Linked DNA regions of Daphnia pulex. The protein of the gene in region 2 binds, or shares a complex with, the protein of the main gene of each other region. Links are inferred from orthologs where the notes say so. Each region holds a gene or a part of one and is shown on either strand. Other genes may lie near its edges.

Region 1 (3,596 bases), on a different chromosome or scaffold from region 2:
AGAATGCAAACAAAGGTAATTATAATAGGAAGAAGTTTGACTATTAAATTGTCATTACTGGTCATTTATTTTCTCTTGTAGATTTGAAGCCGTTTTGAAATATTTCAAATTCACACCTAAAAAAAATTCAGAGCTCGACCCAAAGGATTTCTTTGGTTTGTGGTCTACGTTTGCGTCAGATTTTAAAGATATTTGGAATCGTGAACAGCAACGTATTATCAAAGAAAAGTAAGCCTTTTTTATATTTTATTAATTTTTTTATTTATTTTATTAACACAACAATTCATTCTTCTTTCGCGGATTCAGTTTGGATAAAGCTAAGCAAGCTGTGAAACAGAAAAAATTACAGAGTAGTTCAAGTTATGGCTATGCTAAATCGAAAACTGACGAGGGAACTTTGGTAAGTCGTCCAGTTTATTTGCTCTACTTTTAAGATATGGTCTAACAATGTTTTTGCAATTTTACAGAAAGCAAGATTGCTTAGTCGAAAAAAGAAATAATGTTTGGAATTTCACTTTTGCCTTTTCATATTTATATATAACTTCTTTTTCCACCACGACACACGTACTTTTGTCCAATACCACTATGATAAAGTTGAATTTCTCGTAATCTCGTAACACTTAGATGTCGATCAAAGGCTTGGTTTGTCCATGTTATTTATCCTCTCAAACCTTATTATACTGATATAAAGTCGATTTGCGGCTTGTCGAATTGTTAAGCATTCAAAATGAAAAATAACTTGTTAATTATGCAATAAGTCATGCAGTTAAATTCTTTCCAAATATGAGGTATCTGAGTAGTATAAATAATGCTTCAAGTACAAAAGTAAAGAATGTTAGGATGGTACTGATAAATAATAATTAAGACAACAGTAGAAATATTTCAAATACACTTCATTAAGCTCATTCTAGAAATCAAATTTTGTATGTATTGAATCAAATTTCACAAACAATCTTCTAAGAGTATTCTCCATCTTCTGAATTTGATGGAACATCTCCCTGTTGTTGCTGCAAGGACATTTGAGCCTCTGCTTGAAGTTGTAGCCACTGTTGCTGCTCAGCAGCAGCTTGTTCTTCTCTGGCTTTGGCAAATAATTCCTGCTGTCTATATTTTAAAAAATATGTATTAGACTAATTAAATCATAAAAAAGTGATAAAACTTACTGTCTCAATAGCTCTTCTTCTGGAATTCCCAAGTTTTCCAACCTTGTACTTTGGCGCCTCCTTTTGGCAGCAACAGCTTTACAATCTTTCAACACTGCTTCAGCATCAGTACGGTAGTCATTGAATCCAAGCCTATCTAATGCTACAACCATGTGTGTTAGATTATTTTTCCTTTCCATTACTTTACAACATTTGTAACAATTACCTCCAAGTATATGCTCTGCATTAATAGTCTTTTTCTGTTGCTGAGTACAAATTTCATTAGCCTCTGAAGCCAAAAGGTGTATGAACTCAGAACAACAGTTAAGAATCAATTCTCTAGCTTCATTGGCAACTCGGACACTGGGAACAATCTCTTTAATCATTTTGTTCATAGCAGCTCTCGGAATGGTCAATTCTTCTTCTGGCACAGCTTCTGCCATCTTTAAAGCCTGTATATCAGAAAAAAAACCTACTGTCCACAAACAGAAAACTTTATGAAGAGCAAAGGCTTTGTCAGCCAATACTAGAAGGAAACCGTAATATTGAAAAACAAATTTATGACTCATTATATACCAGAAAATTATATACGTAGAATTAAAAGAACAGCACACACGGTAAGAGTATGATCCTAAATTCTTTCAAAGTTTTCACTAATAATTAACTTTTCTCTCGTGCAGAAGAATGCATAAACAAAGCAATACAACAAACTACACCAAACACACTAGATAAGAAACTAAAATGAATCGCTAAAATAACCTTTTTTTATGCGCCTCTACCAATCGTATACAGGTACTAGGTTGGGAATGTCCAGAACCTTATCCATCTGGTGGCTGCGACTAGTACTTCGTATCCGACTGATAGAATATATCAGCTTGCACCATTATCAGCTTGCACCATTAGTTAGGCAATCCAAATTCATTATCATTATAGGCATTACGAAACAAAAACTAAAAAAGACCATTGTTTTTTCCCCGCATAATTCAGAATCAGGTCATTTTTGGTTGTAAAATTGCTGTCATCCCCCTGTGATTTCCACGCAAACCTTGAAATGATTGTCATTTTTATACTACAATTTCTACTTCATCGTCGGTCCGCGAGGAATTAGAGGAAAAGTCATTGACAAAACCAAGAATACGCCTAGGTCGACCACGGCACCACGCAAGGAAAAGAAAAATTCCGGGTAAAATATCTAAACTTCATTCGTGTTGCTTATAGCAACTCGATCTATTGAAGGTTGTTGACAAGCAGTGTTATTGTGCGTGTTAGCTTTGTTTTTTAAATTCGAAATTCAGAGACCGAGTGTGATTCTATTTGCGCTGTTTGTAAGCAGAGCTATAGATGACAGCGTGTATGGCAGAGCTATACATCTATAACTCTGTTGTAAGCATAAAAGGCTAGATATTTTAATTTAAACCTGAAGTCCTTAATGAATAGGATATTTGTCGTTTGTAGTTTGAATATGTTTTTTGATTTTTTAAATGAAAACAAAATCACAAAAGCCCTTTGCTTGCTAACGGAGATCAACAACTGAGAAGTTAGAAAGAATTCGGGTAATTTTCTGAACTTCGTAAAAGGGCAACGTCGCTTCCCATTCCTCACGGAAGTTCGTCTGCACTGTGCAAGTCTGCAGACTGCATTGCAGATTGGTGAGTTGGTGACGATGACATCATCTGCATATTTTTTCAAAGTTTCAATCATGGAATTGTTCGATTGTAGTGACTAGTACGCAATAATGAGTCCGTTCACTCTAAAGTTTGTTTATATTTCTCGATTGTCTAACTTATGTTACCCACGGGTGTCCCGTTGCACCGTGGACCTTGGAATGTGGATTGTGGTCGGTGAGAAATTGACGGTGGTAAAGAAACTATTGCCTGGGGGACCGTAAGGAGTGATATTAATCGAGCAGCCCCATCAATTCCAATAGTTGCTTGAAAATTTGGGCAAGAACGAATTTGAAAAGCCCTTTGTGCTTTGTCTGCTGCAATACAACTTGAGGCAGGTGGCTACCATGTTACAGTTGGAAAACAAGCACATAATTAAATCACCTTGCTTTTGTCGTAAAACACACTAATGATTTATTACATTTTAGGTCAAAACAAATCCTGTCTGGATCTTGACGTAGAAATTGATAGACATACTTTTCATACTGTTGTCAAAGTTGAGAAAGAAGAAGACAGACATAATCTACTCTCTGCAACACTGGCATTATATTGGCCCACTTTCACGTTGATTTACCATATTGGTCTGGTGGAGTAACCATCAGTGGGAAAGCAGTGGTCCCAAAATATTAATCCCAGTCTCCTTTACTAGCCAACGTCATTTTCAAGTTGGGGATGGAATACCAGCACAAAACGTACGTTAATCAGCAAACGCGTAATGTAATAACGCTCAATATTAGTAGGTTGCTACAACTTTAGTCAATATACCCAAAAATATCTCACGGACTGACGA
Region 2 (4,977 bases):
ACTACAATAAGCAATAATAACTAATAACTAATAAGGCAATTACCAATTTGAAGGATGCATTATATTTTATTGATCAGATTACAACCAGAAAAAAGAAAGTGGTACTATACTAATTTTCTACGTAATTCATCCATTTTTTGTTCAATTTTTGATATCAAATCTTCATCTTCTTTATTATTCTGAAGATTAAACGGTCCGTCGAAATATTCAGGACTAATGCTTTCCAAATGAAGGATTCTATCTTCAAGGGCTTTCAAGCGTCCGTACACATCCAGTGGAATAGGTTGTTCTCTTGAATTAAAACCCAAGTGTTTTTCCATATTTTGTAGCCGTTCTTGGATAGCAGGAGTCGGATTCAATTTGGTGTTTACTGAAGATGGAGCCGGAACTTCAGAGTGTGTTTGTGGTCCCCACATATTTACGCATCTCGACACTAAAACGTAAAGAAATCAGTAATCAGCGTTGAATCCTTAAAATAAAATAATTTTACCCTTTAGATGACTTTTACTATCTTTTCTGCTTACAAGCACTGCCTCTGTGCGAGCACATGAATTCTCTAATTCGTTTAATGGTAGTCTGTGACAGAACTCCTGAACGTTGAATACGTCCGACTCTGATCGTTTCCGTTCCATAAACGCAGTAATTCGTTTTCCCAACTGAAAAATTAAAAACATTTAAAATATTTATTGAGAAAAGACTTGATAAAAGTAAAACGGATCAACAATACCTCTAAATTTGAAGCCTTGATCTGAACGCAATCGGCAGCTGCATAGTCCACCATTATTTTCCTCTTTTTAGATAGACTAGCGTCTTCTTCTTGATCTATATCAATTCAAAACATGCTATTGACTATTAAGCATCTATCACATCAAGCAAATATTCCAACAACTCATTCTCATGGAAATAAAAAATTTCAAATCCCGAATTTCCCCACCTAACAAGATTAGAATATTTTCGTACTTATTTTTTTTAATTTTGACTAATAAAAACTTCTGAACGCTTGTGCTTTCTTTAAGCCATACTTCTATAAGCCAAATAATCAAATGACGTACGCGGCAGTGAAGGGAACAAATGCAGAAGTCACAACTAAATACTAAATAAAGGACGTCTATGTGTGGTTGTCCCTATTCCGTCAGATAATTAGCTTAAAGCTTATAGGCAGCAAAGCTGTCGAACCACACGAAAACGTCTAATAGATTGAAGCAGTGCGTAGAATGCAGCATTGCAGCTACTCATCTTTAGAATCACACAGTATATGTTATTATATAATGAAAGGGCAAAGATTGGAAAGCGTTGGGAACTGGAAAGTACTTGGATAATAAGTAAAATGAATGTTAACATTGCTTAGTTAAAAAATAAAAAGAGAATTAAAAACCCTTAAAAACCTTATATTTTAAATGTCAGACTTGACAGCACTACGTAGATATTATCACTTTAGTAAGATTGAAACTACAGCCAAACTAACGTTCATGCTCCGATTTTTAACTAATGAAAAGTACTGGAAACCATTTCAAATATTGTTCTGATATCGGAAAATCGATTAAGGTTCAATATTTGTGTTACTTGTTAAGAATCAGTACTGTTATGAATTCAAAATTCATACAACAAATAGGAACAACTAAGCATTATTTGTTTAATTTTTACTTGTCCACAGGCATTCTTTGTTGGCTTTCCATTCAGGAGCACCATCACTATAAAGTTCTTTCTTCCAAATTGGTACAGACTTCTTAAGCGCGTCAATCCCAAATTGAACAGCCTCTAAAGATTCGGCTCGATGCTCGGATGAAACAGCTATTACAACACTTGCTTCACCAACCGGAACTTCTCCCAATCTGGAAAGAAAAATAGGTAATTAAAACAAACAAACAAACAAAAAAATGTTTCTTAAGTTTCCTCATTATAACTACAGTATGGTAAAAAAAAAAATTATACCTATGGTGGAATGCAATGTGTTTAACCTTCCATTTTTCTCTAATATTCTCACAAATTTTCTTGATTTCTTTACATGCCATTGGCTTGAAAGCTTCATACTCTAGACTAATCACCTTAAATATAAAGCAAATTTGATTTAGAAATATTTGACTTTAGATTATTCAAATTGACATTACTTTCTTTCCTTCAAAATTATTCCTTGTTGTTCCCACAAATAATGACACAGCTCCAGTAGAATGTTCAACCACTTTAGAGTAGATTGAATTCACATCAAGCTGTTCTTCAACTAAGTTAATAATATCCATTTTAAAATACAATTGAAGGGCTCTGGCGAATTAAGCTGTAGCACACTGCTTATGAAGAATCCTAGCGACCTAGCCACCACTTAATGGTGGGATCACTGCAATTTCCTTGCAATTTTTAATGTCTATAAGCTGATCAAATTCAACATATTCTTCATCAGCAGCTAGGACAATGTTCTTTGATATGGATTCTAGAGCTGGAAATTGTTCTGTAATGATGCACAAAAGATTTGCCCCAGTGATTCTTGAAGTTGTTCTGGAAAGTGAAATATTGTCAAAATCTTTTCCAACTAACTCTCTGGCCTTTGCAAAGAACAGAATCCGAATAACTACTTCATCCATTGATCAAGGTCAAGACTACAGCATCCCTGACTATAATTTTAACCAGATTTGTTGACATGTAACAATCAATAAAAAAATATATGTTAATTAGTTGTCACCGCAAAAGTAAATTTAACTTTGAGTAGTAATCTTGATTAGCAATACGCTCTTCTTATGCGTTGACTATGTGTCTGTAAAACTGTGACAGAGGCTCGGCAATCAGAAAAGCGTCTGGTCACTGGTCGTCTGCTGGCACTGGCAAGTGGGAAGTGGCAATGACATAAAGAGACTAAAGCGTATTTTTTAAAAATTCAAAAATTGTAATATGCGCGGAGTTTTTCTTGCGCGCAAAATATATACATTAATTTTATGCCCCCTTATCTGCAAGAAGCCAACAACGATGCAAATATTCTATGCAACTTTATGTGTATTGTGTATAGATGTTATACCCTTGAAAAAGTAGTGGTCTAGCAAAAAATCGTGCGCAGTTTACGCCGATGCGCACCACAGCGGCAGATAGCAGAACTAAACTTTTTATTACGCTTGACTACCTGTCTACTTCAAGAAACGAGACGAGAACCGACTGCTTGTCGAACAAAGGACTTGAAGTAGACAGGTAGTCAAGCGTAAAAAAAAGTTTAGTTCTGCTATCTGCCGCTGTGGTGCGCATCGGCGTAAACTGCGCACGATTTTTTTCTAGACTACTACTTTTTCAAGGGTATAACATCTATATCGTATCAGAGCGATCGTATTCGTTCACCGATTCTTTCATAATCAACAATTTCATAATATTCAAATTTCAAACTATGTGCATACCGGCATACTATTGTCAGGGGTATGGAGAGATTTATGGAGATATCTTTCTCTCCATACCCCTGCTATTGTTATTTAAAAATCCGACAAGTTTTTCTATCAGACACCAAATAAAATGACAGGCGCATTCTTATGCTACTGGAGTCACTCCTCTATGCGACTGTTAAGTGTTTACTTTCTCACCATCACTCCTTGTGTCACTACTAACACGGGAATTTTCGTGATTTTAATAATTAACAGTAACTATGAGGCGGGTGCGGTAGTTGAATAAGGAAAAATCTAAATATATAGTTCCTAGACTACAAACAATCCAAAAGTTTATTTGTTTCGAATTACTCAATTTCAAATTTCATTCGACATTTGAAAAACTCGGTAAACGTTATTGACAATGTTTTCAAATCACAGTGGTTTTTCCTAGTCAATGTCAAATAACACATAGCATTTCCGCATAACACAAACATTATTTACAAAACAAGGTTCGTGAACAAATTTCGGGGTTCACATTCAAACCAAAATACCGTTTCATATTACAACGATGAGCCTAATGGACTCGAAAAAAAAACACTGCGGCGTTTGGGAATTTCAATCAGCAACTCCCTGGGTTTTAAGCTTAGTATCATTAACGACGATAGAATCCCCGATGTTGACACTAACCAATGATGCAATTTCGACCGCCGATTCGGCGATTGGGACGTATTTATCGTCTATTTTCAAGAGAAGGATGACGCGATCCACGTGCGATCTTTGTCGCGAATCTGGATGATTAGGCACCCAACGATGTACCACCTAATCAAACACAAAGTACAGTAAAAGGAAAACTATTCACCCATCGCGTATAGTTTTCTTACCTGTCCTTCCATACCCACTTCGGGAAGCCATGATTTCCAATAAGATTTTCCACCTTGGTTACGAATTGTTGGACTTGGCCAGAGAACATCAATTCGTCGGCCCAGATTAATGGTATCGTAGACTTGATTGGGATCGACAATCTGAGTAGAGAAAAAATAAGTAAATTAATTTACAAATATACAATTTAGAAGAGCTTTAAAAAGTACCTTGACTCGTTGGTCGACAGAAATCCTGTTGTCCATAAACGGCTCCGTTTCGTACAGAGGTCGGTCAGTGTCGACAGTTTCAAGTCTGTCGAAACGGTCGCGTCTAGAACGATCTCGTCTGCGACTCCTTTCTCTTGCACCACGTCTTTCTTCTTCGCCACCTCTACCGGAAGAATTTCTCTGTCGAGCTGTAGCGCTACTACTAGATTCTGGTGCTGTACGACGTAAACGAACATCACGTTCCTGAGACTCGGAACCACGACTGGGACGTCTTTCACGGACGGATGGAGCACTTCCATTTAACGTCCCACTTCCCATGGGCGTCGAAGTGGTCGTCGCGGCGGCGGCAGCGGCTGTGACTGAATCCCTTTCGGCCAGCATTCCTGCTAGGCTTATGAGAGTGGAGCCGGACGGTTTTCTCAATGTCCCGCTCATCGTCGAGGCAATGCTACCTCTTTGGGTGCCCAATGAACTACGTGGACTCGATCCTCTTGCCGTGTTGAACGCAAACGAATTCATTCCGGCATTAGAAGCATTTAACGCGGCGTAGGTTC

Evidence for each region.
Region 1: molybdopterin synthase catalytic subunit-like (region 2) and protein Dr1-like share a complex: the UniProt entries of both Drosophila melanogaster proteins name them as parts of the ada2a-containing (ATAC) complex. The link is inferred for Daphnia pulex from reciprocal best matches to the Drosophila melanogaster genes Mocs2B and NC2beta.

Annotation. Positions count from the first base shown.
Region 1 is NC_060021.1:11,079,036-11,082,631, forward strand, and holds protein Dr1-like, read right to left. Parts: upstream 1,878-3,596; 5' UTR 1,719-1,877; intron 1,636-1,718; exon of another isoform or gene 1,595-1,635; 5' UTR 1,586-1,594; coding exon 1,369-1,585; exon of another isoform or gene 1,306-1,368; coding exon 1,164-1,305; exon of another isoform or gene 1,105-1,163; coding exon 957-1,104; 3' UTR 906-956; downstream 1-905. Other genes in the region: uncharacterized protein LOC124194693, read left to right, coding at 1-15, 82-228, 307-400, 468-500. UniProt on the Drosophila melanogaster protein: Bifunctional basic transcription factor. Activates transcription of DPE (Downstream Promoter Element) containing promoters while repressing transcription of promoters which contain TATA elements.
Region 2 is NC_060026.1:10,881,399-10,886,375, forward strand, and holds molybdopterin synthase catalytic subunit-like, read right to left. Parts: upstream 2,964-4,977; 5' UTR 2,238-2,963; coding exon 2,109-2,237; intron 2,046-2,108; coding exon 1,933-2,045; intron 1,833-1,932; coding exon 1,645-1,832; intron 823-1,644; coding exon 728-822; intron 657-727; coding exon 491-656; intron 434-490; coding exon 105-433; 3' UTR 40-104; downstream 1-39. Other genes in the region: pecanex-like protein 1, read right to left, coding at 3,951-4,154, 4,217-4,357, 4,424-4,977. UniProt on the Drosophila melanogaster protein: Catalytic subunit of the molybdopterin synthase complex, a complex that catalyzes the conversion of precursor Z into molybdopterin.